2 linked regions of the Canis lupus familiaris genome follow. The protein of the gene in region 1 interacts with the protein of each later gene in a pairwise test. Links are inferred from orthologs where the notes say so. Each region holds a gene or a part of one and is shown on either strand. Other genes may lie near its edges. The genes, in order: KLC3 and TSNAX.

The links.
Region 2: the proteins of KLC3 (region 1) and TSNAX interact in binary tests that used the Homo sapiens proteins (3 or more experiments, as listed by UniProt). The two-hybrid records come from large-scale screens. The link is inferred for Canis lupus familiaris from reciprocal best matches to the Homo sapiens genes KLC3 and TSNAX.

Annotation. Positions count from the first base shown.
Region 1 is NC_049222.1:110,903,388-110,913,024, reverse strand, and holds the start of KLC3 (kinesin light chain 3), read left to right. Parts: upstream 1-3,268; 5' UTR 3,269-3,311; coding exon 3,312-3,372; intron 3,373-5,882; coding exon 5,883-6,148; intron 6,149-6,635; coding exon 6,636-6,866; intron 6,867-7,163; coding exon 7,164-7,233; intron 7,234-7,601; coding exon 7,602-7,821; intron 7,822-8,142; coding exon 8,143-8,230; intron 8,231-8,303; coding exon 8,304-8,405; intron 8,406-8,840; coding exon 8,841-9,014; intron 9,015-9,205; exon of another isoform or gene 9,206-9,477; coding exon 9,478-9,568; exon of another isoform or gene 9,569-9,637. UniProt on the Homo sapiens protein: Kinesin is a microtubule-associated force-producing protein that may play a role in organelle transport. Plays a role during spermiogenesis in the development of the sperm tail midpiece and in the normal function of spermatozoa.
Region 2 is NC_049225.1:8,339,840-8,349,684, forward strand, and holds the start of TSNAX (translin-associated protein X), read right to left. Parts: upstream 5,345-9,845; 5' UTR 5,161-5,344; coding exon 5,145-5,160; intron 4,656-5,144; coding exon 4,551-4,655; intron 1,569-4,550; coding exon 1,454-1,568; intron 1-1,453.

The sequences.
Region 1 (9,637 bases):
AGAAACCCCCCGGGGATGTTAGAGCAGGAGCTTGAGTTGTATTTGCTATTATTCAATCAACAGCTATTCGCCCAAGTGCCTTCTCTGTGTTCAGTCTGTGCTGGGGAGCACTGGGGACACAGTGGTGCCTGAGACCGTCCCCTCCTGGGACTTACATTCCAACGTGGGAGACAGACCTGTCCTCAAGACAGCGATGACCCAGAGTGGGCAGGGCTGAAACGTGGGGGAGCCCGGGCGGCTGCCAGGCCCCTGTGGGGGCGGAGAGGGCTTCCTGGAGGAGGGAACAGCTGCACTGGAGCTCAGAGAACAAGGGAGCAGAGGGCAGGTGGGCCTTGGCTCTGAGGGAAGAGGCGGGTCTGCGCGGCAGCCTGAGGCCGGGATCACGGACCAGCAGCGCCCTCTGCTGGAAGCATCCTGAAGGGAGCGGTCGAGGTACTGCAAGGGTTTGGAAAAGTTTGGCGTTGAACCAAATTCTATGATCTGAGATCTGAGATTCCTGTGCGCCCAGCTTTGGCCGATTTAAGTTTCTAAGACTTGATTCATTCAACTACTCAGTGAGCAAGCACTTTGCACCGGACTCTATTCTAGCGCTAGTGATGCAGTGCTGACCATACAGAGCCCTGTCCATACAGTACCTCATTCAGTCTTCGCAGCCTTTATCCCCATTTCACAGATTCAGAGAATTGACACACACAGAGGTTAAGTTACTTGCCCAAGGCCTTCACTACCAAATGCTGAAAATCAACTTCGAACCCAGAGCCCAATTTCTAGTCCTTGCAATTACCTCGCTAATATATTATGGAATGAAATATCGTATGACCAAGTTACATAAAATAATCTTAGGTCCTGAGAAGTTTTGTAAACAGCAGGCAGGGGAGGGACACCTGTGTGACTCAGCTGGTTAAGCATCTGCCTTTGGCTCAAATCGTGATCTCAGGGTCCTGGTATCGAGTCTGGCTCCCTGCTAAGTGGGGAGGGAGCCTGCTTCTCCCTCTCCCTCTGCCTGACGCTCCCCTGCTTGTGCTCTCTCTGTCTGTCAAATAACTAAATCCTTAAAAAAGAGATGAAGCAGGGAAATGGAGTAGTGTTTTGGTGAGACAGTGTCATTAGAAAGGGCAACTAATATTCAACAAAGGAGGAAAGACTATCCACTGGAACAGTCTCTTCAATAAATGGTGCTGGGAAAATTGGACATCCACATGCAGAAGAATGAAACTGGACGATTCTCTTACATCATACACAAAGATAAACTCAAAATGGATGAAAGATCTAAATGTGAGACAAGATTCCATCAAAATCCTAGAGGAGAACACAGGCAACACCTTTTTGAACTTGGCCACAGTAACTTCTTGCAAGATACATTCATGAAGGCAAGAGAAACAAAAGCAAAAATGAACTATTGGGACTTCATCAAGATAAGAAGCTTTTGCACAGCAAAGGATACAGTCAACAAAACTAAAAGACAACCTACAGAATGGGAGAAGATATTTGCAAATGACCTATCAGATAAAGGGCTAGTATCCAAGATCTATAAGAACTTATTAAACTCAACAGCAAAGAAACAAACAATCCAAAAATGAAATGGGCAAAAGACACGAAGAGAAATCTCACAGAGGAAGACATAGACATGGCCAACACGCACATGAGAAAATGTTCCGCATCACTGGCCATCGGGGAAATACAAATCAAAACCACAATGAGATACCACCTCACACCAGTGAGAATGGGGAAAATTAACAAGGCAGGAAACCACAAATGTTGGAGAGGATGCAGAGAAAAGGGAACCCTCTTGCACTGTTGGTGGGAATGTGAACTGGTGCAGCCATTGTGGAAAACTGTGTGGAGGTTCCTCAAAGAGTTAAAAATAGACCTGCCCTACCACCCAGCAATTGCACTGCTGGGGATTTACCCCAAAGATACAGATGCAATGAAACGCCGGGACACCTGCACCCCGATGTTTCTAGCAGCAATGTCCACAATAGCCACACTGTAGAAGGAGCCTCGGTGTCCATCGAAAGATGAATGGATAAAGAAGATGTGGTTTACTATACAATGGAATATTCCTCAGCCATTAGAAATGACAAATACCCACCATCTGCTTCGACGTGGATGGAACTGGAGGGTATTATGCTGAGTGAAATAAGTCAATCGGAGAAGGACAAACATTATATGGTCTCATTCATTTGGGGAATATAAAAAATAGTGAAAGGTAATAAAGGGGAAAGGAGAAAAAATGAGTGGGAAATATCAGAGAGGGGGACAGAACATGAGAGACTCCTAACTCTGGGAAACGAACAAGGGGTAGTGGAAGGGGAGGTGGGTGGGGGTGGGGGTGACTGGGTGACGGGCACTGAGGGGGGCACTTGATGGGATGAGCACTGGGTGTTATGCTATATGCTGGCAAATTGAACTCCAATAGTTTTTTTTTTTAAAGAAAAAAGGGCCAGTAGGGAAGGCCTCTCGGAGGAAGCGGCCTTTGTGAAGCTACCAGACTAACGAATGGCGTCTGTGGGAATAGGGGGGGCCCAGGCAGCGGGCACAGCCGAAGGCAAGGCCGGGCGGCGGGCGCTGCTAGAAAGCCCTCGGCCTGGGATCCCTAGTTTCCAAGGGTCGAGCTGCGCTGCACCCCGGCTTGGCAGCCTCCAGCGCGCTGGGCTCGCGCTCAGATTCGACGGGCCCGACAGGCACGCGGAGGGCTTCGCGGGTCCGCTGCTGCGCTGGCGCTTCCCCCGCGGCGGGCGGGCTGGGCTCCGCGGGAGCGGCGGGGGGCGGGGCGGGCTCACCTGCGGGGGCGGGGCTTCCGCCCGCCCCGCCCCTCGGAGGAGCCGCCCGCGGCCCGAGACCCAGGGCGCAGCTGGGAGCCGCCGGGCGTGCGCGGTGTGCGGGACGCGGCCCGGCGCATCTCGGCGGAGCGGGTCCCGGAGCCGCCGGCGCTCAGGTGGGCCCCTCGAGTGCTGGGCGGGGGAGTCCCGGGGACCGCGAGGATGGGGGCGGAGGGTGAGGGCTGGGCCCCGCGCACCCTGGGGCCCGCTGGCCTGGCGACGGGGACGGGCCTTGGGGCTCCTGGGCCCCCTGGGCCCTCCTGCCCCGCCCTGGGGCCCCCCCTCCCGGGTCCCGAGGCCCAGCTGGGGCCGCGCCCCCTCCCCGGTGCGCAGGTAAACAGGAGCGAAGACGGGGCGGGGCCTGGGGGGAGGAGGGCGGGGGCCCTTGTGACGGCGGGGGTGGGGAAGCCGGGGTGCGCGGGGCTGGGCCAGGCCGGCCGCGGTAAGGTGTGCGGTTTAGGGGGCTGGCCTGCAGGTGCGGGCGTGGAGATGGGGCGTATGAGAGGCGGTGTGCGAGGCTCAGGTGTGTGTGATGGTGTACGAAGCTCAGGTGTGTGCGCGACGGGCTCCGGCGGTGGGTGCGGGCGAGGAAGGGACAGGGATGGTCCGTGTAACCGTGTGCGGGCGCCCAGGGACTGTGGGAACGACGTGGAGCTGTCTCAGATGCAACACGTGGGCGGACCTCTGTGCGTCTAATGATGGGGGTGGGGGCCGTGTGTATGGGAGGGAGTTGCTCTGTTTATAGGATTAGGTGCGTGACTCAGAGCTTGCGTGGCTGGGGCGGTCTTTCTGCCTGTTAAGGCGCGGGGAGCCGCAGGGAGGTGGGCGATGTGGGACCCGCATGGACGGGGAGGGTGTGCCTGGGATTAACACTGTCAGCTGTGCGGTTGTACGTGTGTGAAAGGGAGTTTGTTGTTCACGGGACTGAGTGTGGGCAAAAATCATGGGAATAATGGAGCTGTCTGAATGACTCCATGAACGTGTGATCGTAACTTTGTGGGGCTTGTGTGTGACACGGAGTATGGTGAGACATGTACACACATATATACGTATAGTGAGAGAGACTGGTGTCTGCACACACGTATATGTAGAGATTGATGGCAGGGGAGAGCCTGCAGTGTAGAAAATCCGTGGATTATGTGCCTGCCTTCCTGTGTGTCTTGGTGTATGATGTTCGTGAGCAGGTAAGTAGGTACCCAAACCACTAGGCTGCTTACGGCGCCCTGGTGGCTTGAGTGAGGCACATGCCCGAGAGGGTCTATGCAAACACCTCTCTGTGTCTCCACAACTGAATCTGAGTTCAGGAATTGTCTGTATGTCCGTGTTTGAAGCTCTGTGTATCTGTGTGTATGCTGTGTGCAGGTGCGTGAATCTCTGGCTGGCCGGGCAAGGTGTTGGGGGAAGTGGGGAAGGAGATGATAGGTCCACAGTGAATCCCAAGAGTGTGTGTGTGTGTGTGTGTGTGTGTGTGTGTGTGTGTGCGCGCGCGCGCGCATGCGTGCCTGGAGGAGGTGATGGGCATGTAATGGAGAGCTAGCTGCTTGCAGGACCTTATAAGTGCGGGAAAGGTGTGTCATGGGGGTAACTGCAAAGAGATAGCCTGAATGTGAGTGATTTGGGATTTGGTTATCTTTTCACTAGTGAGGGGGGACAGAGTTTCTGTGTGTGTTGGCTTTTTTTCCCAAGAGGAAAATACACCAGTGTGTGGGATTATATTTCCAAGAGGGGAGAGCATACATGTGTTGTTTCTGAAAGAGTATGTGGGTGTGCGTGCACGAGCCTGAGTAAGTGTGTTGCGTTTTTTTTTTTTTTTTTTAAGATTTTATTTGAGAGAGAGAATGAGCCAGGGGAAGAGCAGAGGGAGAGGGAGAAGCCTATTGTGGGACCCAATTCTGGAACCCCTGGATCATACTTGAGCTGAAGGCAGGCGCTTAACTGAGCCACCCAGGCACCCTTGGATTAGGTTTTTTGAAAGGAAAATGTGGATGTGTAGGATTGTATTTTTATTTTTTAGAGGAGAAAGAGAGTGTCCTGTATGTCTTGCTTCAGAGAAAATGTATATTATGTTTTTAAGAAAGAAAGGAGTGTGCATGTTGAGCCGTCTTCTTGTAGAGGGGAGTGTGTGTGTGTACGAGCAGGTGTGTTTCTGAGAAAGTACGTATATATTGCACTGCATTTGAAAAAAGAAAGAGCAGGTATTCAGTTTCTGAGAGGAGGAGAACGTGTGTGTCGCATTGTGTATTTAAGAAGGGAGGGTGTGCGTGTGTTGGGGTCTGTTTCTGGGAGGGGAGTGAGTGTGCTTGTGTGTGAATACAGAGGCTACAGAGGCTCCAGCAGCTGTGTCATTGACTTTGTCACCTACATACAACCACATAAAGTGCCACACATGAGACCCCCACCCATTAGCATCTAGGCCTCAGACTCTGAGCTGTCACAGGGCTAGTGTGACATCCATGGGCCGTGCCTGTCACACGTGTGTCCCAACATGCCTTGGGCTGGCGGAGCCTGTCTGCAGTGGAGGGTGGAGTCCTTGTTCCCTTGGGATCCATCAGGCCCTGGGAGCTGACACACAGGCACCCCCCCATCCCCCTAAATCTAGAGGGCTCCTCTGCTTCCAGTGCCCCAGCCCCTTGGCCCTCTCCTCCGGCCCCACCCCTCCAGCCCCAGTGGTCCGACTGGTTCCCAACAAAAACACCCTAAGAATGAGCTCACGGAGAGGCCGCCTCCACATGCCCCGCCCCACACACCCAGCAGAGGCGTGTGCCTCCAGTCCAGGTCACACGGGGAGTCCTGGGGCCAGGTATCTGGGGCCCTTGGGATAGACAGGGCTGGCCAGGTGAGCTGAGGGCAGGTGAGAGGCCACGAGACCACTGGTTGCCCCAGATTTTGAGTGGCCCTCAGGGCAGGGCCCATGGCTGAGGACAGGCAAAGCTAGACTAGAATGTTTCCAGTTGCCAGCTGGCTGGGATGGGTGCGGGACAGGGAGCCGGCCAGGGTGAGGAGGGACTGATGGGCCTGCTTGCCTGGCCCTGACCCCCCAATCCCTGCTACCCACCCCAGGAACAGCAATGTCCGTGCAGGTGGCAGCCCCTGGAAGTGTGGGGCTGGGCCCGGAGCGCCTGAGCCCCGAGGAGCTGGTGCGGCAGACGCGACAAGTGGTGCAGGGGTTGGAGGCCCTGCGAGCAGAGCACCATGGCCTGGCCAGGCACCTGGCGGAGGCGCTGGCAGGACAGGGCCTGGTGGCTGGCTTGGAACTGCTGGAAGAAAAGCAGCAGGTGGTGAGCCACGCGCTGGAGGCCATCGAGCTGGGACTGGGCGAGGCCCAGGTATGGGGGGGGGAGCAGCTATCCAGCCATGGGGGGGGAGGCTCAGAGCTGGGAGGAGGCCCGGGATGAGGGAGGCAAGTATGTAGGGGGTGATGAGCCTGGAGCAGGGGAGGCCTAGGGGAGCCAGGCCTGGGGAGGAGGGGTTCTAGGCTGGAAATGGGATCCCTGGGTGGCATTAGGGGGTCCTTTTGTGTGACAGGAGCCCCTGAACCAATGGCATCCATCTATAGAACTGTAGATTCTAGGGAGATGTTGGGGTCACATGGGTAGGATATGAAGTGGCCCTACACGTGATTTGTGTGCCTGAATGAAATCAGAAGGGTCCCTGGGTGGGGTTTGGGTGTGCCCTTGGGAGTTTCTGCACATCCTCAGAGTCACTTGGAAGGGCCAAGAGTTGGGGTGCTCTGGCATGACATGAGGCCCTGGGTTGGGCCAGGGACTGCCTGGTAGGAGAGGGACTGGGCCCCTGATCCCCGGCCCCCTGCAGGTGCTGCTGGCCCTGTCCGCGCACGTGGGCTCCCTGGAGGCGGAGAAGCAGCGGCTGCGAGCGCAGGCCCGGCGGCTGGCCCAGGAGAACTCGTGGCTGCGGGAGGAGCTGGAGGAGACGCAGCGGCGCCTCCGGGCCAGCGAGGAGGCCGTGGCCCAACTGGAGGAGGAGAAGAGCCACCTGGAGTTCCTGGGGCAGCTGCGCCAGTATGACCCCCCTGCCGAGAGCCAGGTGCTGCAGGGCTGGGCAAGCCAGGGGGCCCCCATCCTCCTTAGATCCCCCACAGACCTGTACCACTCCATGGAGCCCCCAGTGCCCTAGACCCTCCAAAGAAGCCCTAGACCTTCGACAGGGTTCCACAACCCCCAGACTCAGTAAAATTTCCACAGAAGCCCTCCCAGCTTCCACAAAATCCCCAGATCTTCCCCAAGCCCTCAGAAACCCCCCTCAAACTCGGAGGTCCAGGACCCTGGTCTCTAAAGCAAACTCCCAGCCCTCTTTGACTCCTCACTTTCCTGCCCTCTGCAGCGGCCTGAATCCCCTCCTCGACGAGACAGCCTAACCCCCCTGTTCTCCAGCGAGGAGGAAGAGAGGAAAGGTGGGTGTGGGGGAGCACGCAATTGTTGGGCCACTCGGCCACGGAGGATAAGAGGCTGAGGCCGGGGAGGGACGGAGACCCAAGGTGGATGTCAGGGCAGGGCGGCAGGAGCATGAGGCAAGGGGCCGGGCCAGGGCGCATGACAGCCGAGGCTGGAAGCTGTGAAACCAGGCGTGCCACAGCCGCACCCGCCAGGCGGACCCCGCGTTCACATCCCATGAACCAATCTCCAAGGTCAGTGCGGGGATCCGTCATCCCAGGGACCAATGGGCCAGTGAGGCAGCTATAGCCCTGGAGTATGTTCCTCTTTTTGGGGATGGGAAGGGTGGGAGGCTGGCAGTGACCTGATGTCCATCTGCCACTCGCAGGCCCTGAGGCAGCGGGGGCGGCAGCGGCTCAGCAGGGTGGCTACGAGATCCCAGCCCGCCTTCGGACCCTGCACAACCTTGTGATCCAGTACGCAGGGCAGGGCCGCTACGAGGTTGCTGTGCCACTGTGCCGCCAGGCCTTAGAGGACCTGGAACGGAGCTCGGGCCACTGCCACCCCGATGTGGCCACCATGCTCAACATCCTGGCGCTGGTGTACCGGTGAGGGCTGCGGCCGGCCACGGACCCATTGCTGGGGGCAGGGGAGCTGGCGTCCCACTCTGCCAGCATGGGGCACCTGGATTGGTGGTAGCAGGGGGTGTCGACAGGGATCTGGAGAAGCCAGTGATCCAAGCAAGGAGTCAGACAACCATAGGCAAGAGACCTGTGGGGGCTGGAGGCTTGACAGCAAAGGGACCCTGTGCCAGACTTGGAAAGTGTGGCTCACAAGCGACCATGGAAGGGCGCCTGCCACCCAGGCTTGGCCCGGCAGGTGCTGCCCCAGCATGTCTGACCCCCCTCCATCCCTGGGCCACATCACAGGGACCAGAACAAGTACAAAGAGGCCACAGACCTTCTCCATGATGCCCTGCAGATCCGGGAGCAGACACTGGGCCCTGAGCACCCTGCGGTGAGTGGGGGCCCAGGAGTGAGGGCCGTGGGGTGGAGCCTACCGCCCCTGACCTGCCTCCCCGACCCTGCAGGTGGCTGCCACCCTCAACAACCTGGCTGTGCTCTACGGGAAGCGCGGGCGGTACCGGGAGGCGGAGCCCCTCTGCCAGCGCGCCCTGGAGATCCGCGAGAAGGTCCTGCCTCCTGCCCAGCCCCCACGGAGTCCCTAGGCCACCGGCCCCTCCCATCTGATCCTGATGTGCTCAATTCACTGGCTCCGGGGTTGCAACCCTGATCCTATGATGTCCTTCCCATCTGATACCGTGAGGCCTCAGTTTGAGCCTCAATGATCCAATCTCGCAACCCACTACCCTTGACCTTCTGTGAACTTCCCCAATCTTGACTCTGATCCTTTGTAGAAATCACCTCATATGCCCCCCAACCCAGTCCTAACCTTCTAATCCCATGTGACCAGCCTGATCTTGACCCGATTAATCCCCAGTTTGTGTCACTTCCACCCTCTGGCTCACAACCTAATGTAACTCTCCCCACTGATCCTATGAACCTTAACTCATGACCCCTATTATGGCTACAGGCATCCTGTGGCTCACTGATGCCCCCACCCCTAGGTCCTGGGCACCGACCACCCAGACGTGGCCAAGCAGCTCAACAACCTGGCCTTGCTGTGCCAGAACCAGGGCAAGTTCGAGGAGGTGGAGCAGCACTATGCCCGAGCCCTGAGCATTTATGAGGCCCTGGGAGGGCCCCACGACCCAAATGTGGCCAAGACCAAGAACAACCTGGTGAGGGCCCTGGGGCTGACTGCCAGGGGCTCCCCTGGAGAGGCACCCACTGGCTCAAGGGTGGGATACCCTGGAGCCCTCTGCTGAGCTCCCAGTGCAAGAGTCCCCAAAGACCTGGCCTCTGAGCTGGGCCCCAACTGGTGAGCTTGCTCAGCACAGCTAGAACATAGAAAAATCAGGAAACACACAAGTTGGTGGGGCCAGATGACCGTCTCATATTTATTGAGCTCTGGACCCCCTTTCTTAATACTTTCCCTATACTGTCCATTTCTTAAAGGACACTAGGAGGTAGATGCTCCTGTCACCCCATTTTGCAAATGAGGAAACTGAGGCACAACGGTGGTATCACTAGCCCAAGGTGGAGCAGGAACCAATCACCTGCCCTAGGTCATGAGGGGGGAGAGGGAGAGGATATGCCTGGGGAGCTCCAGATCTGAGCCTCGATCACCCACCCTCCCCGCAGGCCTCGGCCTACCTAAAACAGAACAAGTACCAGCAAGCAGAAGAGCTGTACAAAGAGATCCTGAGCCGGGAGGACCTGCCTGCTCCCCTGGGTGAGCCCCCGGCCCCTCCCCCCTCAGGTGACATTCTCAGTGTCTCCATTGCACTGTCCCCTCTCTGTT
Region 2 (9,845 bases), on another chromosome or scaffold:
TCAGCAGGGAGTCTGCTTCTGCTTCTCCCTCTGTGTGCTTGCTTTCTCTCAAATAAAAAAATCTTAAAAAAAAAAAAATTGTATCTGGAAGATATAATTAACTTAAACCCTTAAAAAGATATATACACTGTAAGTCCTTCTAGAGGTATTTGTACTTTGTAACAAGAATTTCTCTATCGGAATTAGTTACAGGTGGGCACTTTTAAACCTCATGTACAACAGAGAGGCAAAGAGCCAATTAAATGAAATAGGAAGCAAACAAAGAAGCAAAGATGGAAGATAGAGATACCTAGCTGCTTTCATAGAATACTCCTGAATCTTTATAATTCATTTCCCTGTTCTGCTTAGGGTAGTTTAAGCTGGTTTATATGTATGTATGTATGTACGTACGTATTTGAGAGTGAGCACATGCGTACGTGAGCAGGGTGGGCAGGTGGTAGGGGGGTAAAGAAGGAGAGGGAGAGGATCTCAAGCAGACTCCTCATTCAGTGTGGAGCTGCACATGGGGTTCAATCTCTTGACCCTGAGATCATGACCTGAGCTGAAACTAGGAGTTGGACGCTTAACCAACCTGAGCCCTAGGCGCCTCATAATCTGGTTTCTTTTATTTGCAACTGAGGAATCTAGGATATATCTAGAAAAATAAAATATTCTTACAGAAAGAAATTTCAAAGAAAAGATGCCTCAGAGCTGAAGAAAAGGGAACTTCCAAAGGAGAATTAAGCAGTCAATACTATCATATGCTACAAAAATGTAAAATAAGAAGAGTATGCACTAGATTTAGCAATTATGAAGGTAATAGGACAATTTCAATAGTTATGAGGCAGAAAAGCAGATTGCAATGAGTTGATCAATGAATGGGAAGATAAATAACTAGATTTCAACATTGATCTACCATTAAAATTTTACATGTATCATCCAAGTAAAGCTTTTATGCAACAGGCTCTAATGAAGCCATTAGAAATTTAATATTTTCACAAACAACAGCTTTTCACTGAGTGATCTTAACACAAATCCCTAGCTGCTCTGAAAATAAGAACTTTCCCTTCCTGTGTTGATTAAAACATTTGTTCTTAAAATCTACTTGCTACTGGGGTGCCTGGATGGCTCAGTCTGTTGAGTATCTGACTCTTTGAGTTTGGCTGAGGTCATGATCTCAGGGTTGTGGGACAGAGCCCCACATTAGCTTCAGAGTGGGCATGGAGCCTGCTTAAGATTCTCTCTCTCCCTCTGCCTTCTCCCCTCCCCTCCCCTCATGCTTGCTCACTCTAAAAAAAATTAACTAAAAAAAACTACTTGCTGCTAATGTCTTCTGATCCCAATGTTCATATAACAAATCACAGAATATTCTAACAGCTAGTTACTGTTCATTGAGGTATAAAACATTACAAAATATATATAATACATATCAAACTGTATGCAACTATAACAAATTTTAAAGATATTTACTCACCTTGTAATCCTATGGAGAAGAAAAATTGTCCTTTTACTTTCAACAGTTATATCCCGACTAAGTTTCACAAGTCTCTCATATTTATCATGTCTTGCATCAAGTTCCTGCTGAAATGCTAACACATTATTACAACCATAAGCATGCATATTCCATGCTTCAAGCCTATCAAACAACACTGTTATTATGCACTATAAAGGAACTATTATTTACTCTATAAAAATGAGGAACACATCATCTCATTTAAATGATGGAAATCAAAGACTGGTAGTAACCAAAATATTCTTTCTTTAAACAGGTATGCTTTAACTGGATTTTACCACTCATAGCCTCATAGTAAAATGTGTGTGTGTGTGTGTATATATATATATATATATATATTTATATAAATGTATATAAACATATATATTTATATAGAATTTAAAAAAAACAAACCTCATCTAGTAAACATGAATTATCGCAGAATTATCACATGAGACTTTTATAAAAATTACTTCAACTACCTTTCATAATGTTTTTTAAATCGTATCACATGCAATGTTATCTCCCCCCACAAAAACCTGGACTTTTTTTTTTTTATTAAAAGTTCAAAAAAAAAAAAAAAGTTCATAACTTTTAAGGACAACTTTCTGAATTTCCAAGCCCTAGTCACTGAAATACCCATAAGCCACTTAACTCTTAATCACCACTTTATTTCAGAAGCATTGTCACAACAAAGACCTAGCAAATATCCTGTCCCACAGGGAGCACAGGGATGTATTTTGCATGATTTAAAAAACCCCAGAACTTGAATAAACTATTAACCAAATTAACAGGTTGACAAGGACCAAATACATTTGCTTCTATTATTGAGATAACAACTAAGAAGGGATTTTGCCTAGTATTTCAAGACAATGAAAAGCTTTCATTATTATAAATATTAATGACAACTGTGAATCAGATACTATGAATACAAAGTTAAACAAGACAATTCTTATCCTCAAGAAGTTTAGTCCAGTTAAAGACAAAAATGTAAACAATTAAAATTAATAATAACCATGTGTAAAGGTTCAGGAAAGCAGGAACCACATTTTTCTTGTTCCTGCTAACATATGCTAGAACACAGTAGATGCTCAATAAATATTTAATGACCAAATGGATGAATGGATAATGAATAAATGCAATGTCTGTCAATAAATTTGCTTGACAAAAAAAGTCAGAAAGACTTCCAAGAAGACATGTGAACTAGGTTATGAAGGAAACCATGGTTCACCAGATGGACAATGGAACTAGCAAATTAGAAGAAATTTTGAGCTTAAAGAACTATGTGTGAAAACGCAGACAGAAACATACAAAAGCAACATATGCTTGGAAACAAGCAGCTCTGTATATGGTGTGTCAGAGTACAATGATGGGGAAACCCTGGCCCACTGCAGTTTTTGCACTGTGTATACCATTCATTGTATCAATACACTAAGCAATTACAAGTTGTTTTATACATCTAAAGATCAATGTAGGTGCCATGATTTTAAAATATACCCACAAATTATTTAGGACTCCCTTCAAAAGGTGGAACCTAATTTGTTCCCTTTAAAAATGAAGCAGAGGGCAGCCTGGATGGCTAAGCAGTTTAGCGCCGCCTTCAGTCCAGGTTATGATCCTGGAGACCCGGGATCGAGTCCCATGTCGGGCTTCCTTCATGGAGCCTGCATCTCCCTCTGCCTGTGTCTCTGCCTCTCTCTCTCTCTGTCTCTCATAAATAAATAAAATCTTAAAAAAAAAATTTTTTAAATAAAAAAATAAAAATGAAGCAGAGTTATTTAAACTGCCTCATCTCTAACAAACAGAATGTAGCAAAAGCAACAGCGTATTGTGTCTGAGATCAGGACCTAAGAAGACTGGTTTCCTCCTTGCTTTGATCGAGGAAGCCAGCTGCCATAACATTAGGCCACTCAAGTAGCTTCCTGTGAGGACGGAGAGCTGGTTGTTGGCAGAAGGCCCGACTGGTCAACTGAGGTGGATCCTCCAGGCCCACTCAGGTCTTCAGATGACCGAGAGTGAGAATCAACAGCTCAGGCACTCTCAGGCTCTAACTGTAAGGTGTAGGAGGGTGGATACAGGATGACAGGAAGGAGATTTTTGTTTTATGCTTTCTTTTGAAATGAGGAGCAACTCAACCAAGTTAATAAGAGGATTGTGAGGGACACCTGGGTGGCCCAGTGATTGAGCATCCCATATGCTTCAGCTCGGGTCATGATCCCGGGGTCCTGGGATGGAGTTCCACATCAGACTCCCCACAGAGAGCCTGCTTCCCCCTCTATGTCTCTGCCTCTCTCTCATGAATAAACAAATAAAATCTTTAAAAAATAAAATAAAATAAAAAAATAAAAGGAGGCCTGTGAATAACACATACACACACAGACATTATGTATGTGCCGTATATCTGTGGCATGTATATGACTTATTAATAGAAAAGGTCCCGCTCTGTGCGAGGTGTGACAGTCACAACAAAAAACTTAATCCTGGTCTTCAAGATTCTAGCTTAGGAGCCAAAACCAAAATATACGCTTCAAAGTGAACTAATTAGGGATCCCTGGGTGGCGCAGCGGTTTGGCGCCTGCCTTTGGCCCAGGGCGGGATCCTGGAGACCCGGGATCGAATCCCACGTCGGGCTCCCGGTGCATGGAGCCTGCTTCTCCCTCTGCCTGTGTCTCTGCCTCTCTCTCTCTCTGTGACTATCATAAATAAATAAATAATTAAAAAAAAAAACACAAAGTGAACTAATTAAATCTATATGTATACATACAGCTGACAGATCTATATCGCTGATACATATTTGTATGTCGGGGACGCAGTAATTTTTAGTGATGTGGCATTTCTGATGCTAATATTTACCTGTAGAACCCTTACAGGAAAAAAAAAAAAAAAGCCAACACCTGAGTACCCTCGACTTTAATGGCAGACCCAGCACCACAGCTAACCTCTGGGGGAAGAAGGTACAAGGGTCACACCGGCACAGCTCACGTCCTAACGGTGTGTGCAGCACAACATGCCTAAACGCTCCTTGCTACCACCTCTCTCGCTCTCTTCCCTTCGCCAACCTCCATGACAGAAAACTTACATTTGAAGGCCAACATCACAGGTGAAGATGAATTAACATCCTTCCCTTCTCTTCTCTGGTTATGTGGGAAATTGTCGTGCTTCCTTTTCCTGAACCCTCCTGATCCTTACGTAGAGAAGGAGAAAACAGTTGGGTAGGGCTTTTGCACCAGAGCTGGCCCCTGCCTCGCTCTCACACCCGCGCCCAGGGGCCCTGGCCCGAGACGCTTGCTCGCTTGCTCGCTTGCTCGGCCGACTCACGCAGCAGCAGCCCTGCCTTTTTATTCCCCCCACCCCCACCCCCGCCCCCACCCCCCAATCCTAAGCTCACCTCACCCGGGGCCTCCACCAGTGGCTTTCCTGATCTGGCACAAGGTGGAGCAATGACCAAACTAAAATCAAAGACACAGCTCGAGGATTTAAGAAATGGCCAGGTGTGCATAGGCCCGAGGTGGCCAGGAAATCTCCGGGGCCGCCCCTCCCCCCCACCCCGCCCCCGAGCCTGCATGGGGAGAGGGCAATCCCTCAAGCGGGAAGCGAAGTGGAAAATCCGACAAAAAGGAGGGAGATCCTCCCCCTTTGAATAAAGAACGCCCAGGGCCGCCGAGGACGCCACCTTCTTTGCTGCTCATGTCGTCACGGCCTACGGCGAGATGAGCGGAGACCCAAGGCCTGCGAGCCAGCGGGGTGCGTAAGGTGCTGGCCGAAGAGCCTGCCGAGGAGCCCTCCGCGGCCGGCCGACGTCGACGCACTGGCCGGAAGCGCACGCCCGCAGCCACTCACGCCTCTCCCTCCGTCCTCGCACACTTCCGGCCTGCGCCCCGGCCCCGCCGCCGCAGGCTCCGCCCCGCGCGCCCCGGGGCTCTCGCGCCCGCGCGCCGTCGTCCCGGCTGCCCTCTGCTGTGCCTGAAGACAAAGCGAACTCTACAGGCCTCACTGCGCTTCCATCAAAACGGATGATGGAAGCGAGGCCTGTGTGAAGATGGAAAAACGGCGGGAGGTGTTCGTGATTTTTTTTTTTGTTTTTCCTCAAGGCACTTTGGGAACACCCCCGCGTTCCCTTCGCGTGGACCCAGCCTTCCGCGCGGGGAGTGATGGGGGTTGTAGTTCGCCCGCCGGAGTCAGCCCCTTGCTGCTCTCCCGACCTGGCTGTGAGGAGGGAGCGAGCCGTCCATCGCCTACGGGAGGGTCTTCTCAGGATCCAGGCCGAATCTTACGGAGCTGGGAGTTTAAACTTTCCATTCCTGGCTGTGGGGCCAGCAGGCAAAGTGATGGGGAGACACGAATCAGTGAGCAGGCGGCCTTGGCGTTCGGACGAAGGTAAAGCCCGCCCTCTGTGCTCCGCCCCGGGCCCTCGCCTGTCATCGCCTTCTGCACCGCGGCCTCCGCGCGCTCGCTGCGCTCGGCGTCCCCTGGCCCCGCGGGGCTGGGTGACCTCGAGGGCAGTTAGCCACTGTCCTCAGTTTCTTTACCTGTGAAACAGGGATGGAATACTACCTGCGTCATACGCTTAGTCGAGGGCCAAATGAGTTAATACTAAAGTTCATAGAAGAGTGTCCTTTCGCATAGTACCTGCTCGATTAAATGTTAGCTTTCAGGGGCACCTGGGTGGGGCAGCGGTTCAGCGTCTGTCTTCGGCTCAGGTTGGGATCCCAGAGTCCTGGGATGGAGTCCCGCATCCAGCTTCCCGCAGGGAGCTGCTTCTCCCTCTGCCTGTCTCTGCCTCTCTCCCTGTGTCTTTCGTGAATAAATAAAATCTTTTTTTTAAAAAAGAGAATATTAGCTTTCATACCCTTCTCCCAACCTCACGCTCCAAAAAAGAGAGAGAGGTTGGTAATAACAGGCTAACAGGTGCGCACAACTAAGTTGTGAGCTTTTTATTTGGGGCAGGTACTGCCATATCTTATTAGATTATATATTTATATATATATATATACATATATATATGATTTTATTTATTCGTGAGAGAGAGAGAGAGGTGACCTGAGCCAAAGGCAGGCGCTCAACCACTGAGCCACCCAGGTGTAGGCCTTCCAACCTTTTATAACCTCCCACCCGCGCCTCCGGGATCCACAGCTCTTGTAAAGCCGCTATAAGTGTTTGTTCAAGGATGAGGTTCCCATCGCCAAGATGGGTAACGAAGTAGCAATCCAGCATCTTCTAGGTATAAACTCAGGGTAGGGCTTTGGCAAATTGGGTGGCGTAGGCCGAGTGGGGAAAACACAAGTATGTTTTATTACACTTTCTCTGAATATCTCCATGTTGTGGGCACGTGCTGCACACACAGTCCTTAATTCCTCCTAATACGAAAGAATAGTAAATGAAACGACTTGACTAGAGTATGGCCGAATTTTCAAGCCCAGGACAGGGGTGTGTGGTAGGAAGGTTTCCTGCTCTAGCTAATCTCTAGAGTCTCTCCCCACTCTGAAGCAAGAAGGTACCTCCTGTCCATACCTTTGCAGCTCTTCGACTACATGAATTAATCAACCAAATTCCTTGCAGATAAAATAGGCTGCTCATGACTCTTGCTTTGTAGATTTGGGGCAAATTAATTCTGAGTTTGTAGGAGATCTGACCCTGGTGATGTTCACCAGTATCTCCCCTTTTTTAATGAGAGAATAATTGACCATGGAGAAAAAAAAAAAAAAAAAAAAAAAACCTTCTGCTATAAATATAGTAATTTAGATGTGACTCCCTTCGATATAAGGAAGCCAATAACTTATGAACATTTTTAGAGTCAATATTTATTTAGCACAGTCTTAGAAGAAGAGTATTTTTTCCTAATTCTACTGGAATAGCAGCTCTGAAGACCTCAACTACCCAAAATTTAGATCAGCCATGTTTATTTTCTTTCCCCAGCCACCACTCCTGTTCAGCTGTTTAACTACAGCTATGTTGCTTGAACAGTTTTTCAGGCTTCCCATAATTGTTACAATTAGAATGCAAAGTTTCATAACTTGTAATGACTTCTCAAAGTACTGAAAGGTGAATCCCGGGAACACTTCTCCAGAACTTATTTGCATATGCAGTTTCACCAGGTGTCCCATCTGTAACTGCTCCTTTGTCAGGAAATACCACCTCTGGTAACCTGCAGAAGTCATCTCCACGTTGTCTCTTTGTTTGTTGCTTCATATGCATACACAGAGTTTTACTATTTGGCAAAACATATTTTCGTTTGTTTTTAAGGGAAAGCTACCACCCAAGTTGGGAAGCGGAAGGTAAACATTTTCGGTGAGACCTTACTTCTCCCTTACTAGCCAATTCTCAAACCTTTGTTGTTCCTCCTCATCTCCCCAAACTCAACAATCAATTGCTCAAAAGACTTCCTCTCTGTTACACTTAGTCTCATGTTGATCTCATTCGGATGATTTTAAATGTCGTTAGTAATCTAATAAAACCCCACATTATGCTTCTGCTCCAAAAAATTCATATCCAGTCCAAACCCATATCCCAGTACCTTATTCACCTATTTCTTGAGTGTTTAATATTTATCTCAAAATTAACATATCCAAAATTGAACACACCAGTCCCCCAAAACCCATCTCTTCAGCATTATTCCCTATTTAAGTTCATGTAAATAATCTTTTTCCAATTGATCAGACTAAAAAACTAGAGTCATCGTTAACTCCTCCCTCTTTCACATTCTACATCCTATTTACTCTGGACTGAACTGCATCCCCCAAAATTACTATGTGGAAGCCCTAACACTCAATGTGACTATCTTTGGATATAGGGCTTTTAGGAGATAAGTGAGATTAAGTAAGGTCATGTGGTGGGGTACTAATCTGGTAGGACTGGTGGTGGCCTTACAAAAAGAGGGAGAGAACAATCTCTTTCCCCATATGCATTCATCAAGGAAAAGCCATATGAGGATACCGCCAGACACCATCTGCAAGCCAGGAAGAGAGGACTAGAACCTACCGTCTTAGAACACTGATCTTAGACTTCCATTCCCCAGAGTGTGAAAAAATAAATTTCTGTTGTTTAAGCAACCCAGGTTATGGTACTTTTCTTATGACACCCCAAGCAGACTATGCCACTATTCATTACCAAATCCTATTTGTTCTACCTTCACCATATACTTAGATTACAACCAGTCTCTCCAAATTCTACTATCTTCCGCTTACCCAAGCTACCATCATCTCTCATCTGAAATACTCCAATAATCTCCTAACTGAATATAGATGTCAGTCCTTCTCATCAAGAAGTGGAGTCAGTTTTCTCTCCCCTTAAAGTTGATTTAGCCTTTGGCTTGTTTTTACTAACAGAATGTGGAGGAAGCAGTGTTGCATCAATTGCGAGCCTAGACCTTAAAAGACCCAACAGCTTCCCTTTTAGCTCTCTCGGAACCATTAGCCACGGTGTAAGATGTCTGACTATTCTATTGGAGAGAGAGGCCTGACCAACCCATGTTCCTTACAACCAACCCAGCTGAGCTGCCAGCCACGTGAGTGACTCTACCTTGACATTGCAGTCCCAGCTGAACTCCTTTCTGAATGCAACAGAATGATGACACCAGCCATCACCTCCATGGAGCAAAAGAACCAGCCATACAAACCACAAAATCATGAGAAACAATCAGTCATTTTAAATCCCTTTAGTTTCAGGGTAGTTTGTTGTGCAGCTAACTGATAGACACTGGTGTCCTGTTTTCAATTTTGCCCAACTTTCAGTCATTTTTCCACATAGCAGTCAATGATTCCATTTAAAAAATATAGAGATGGTGTTACTCCTCTACTTAAAATTGCAAGTATACTCCTCTTCCTCAGAGTAAAAATCAAAATTATTACAAGACCCTATATAATTGGCCCCAACCGCCACCTCATTACCTTGTCCTCATCTACTGTTTGCTAACTCTGTTTGACCTTCCTCTTTGACCTTCTGTTCTCAAACAAGCTAGACATGGTTCTGCCTCAAAGCCTTAGCACCTACTATTCTTTTAGAATGGATGGCTTTTTCCACAGATTTCTTTAAGACTTTTTCTTTTCTCATTTCATGTCCCCACTGAAAATGGCACCTTCTCATTGAAGCCTTCTGTGGTAGCCCAAATAATGGCCTTCCAAAGATGTCCATATCCTAGAAAGGGGAAACCTCTTGCATTGTTGGTAGGAATGCAAGCTGGTGTACCCAATCTAGAGAACAATCTGGAGGTTCCTCAAAAAGTTAAAAATAGAACTACCCTATGACCTAGCAACTGAACTATTAGATATTTACCCAAAGGATAGAAAAATACATATTTGAAAGGGTATATGCACCTCAATGTTTATGGCAGCATTATCAACAATAGCCAAACTATGGAAAGAGCCCAAATGTTCAA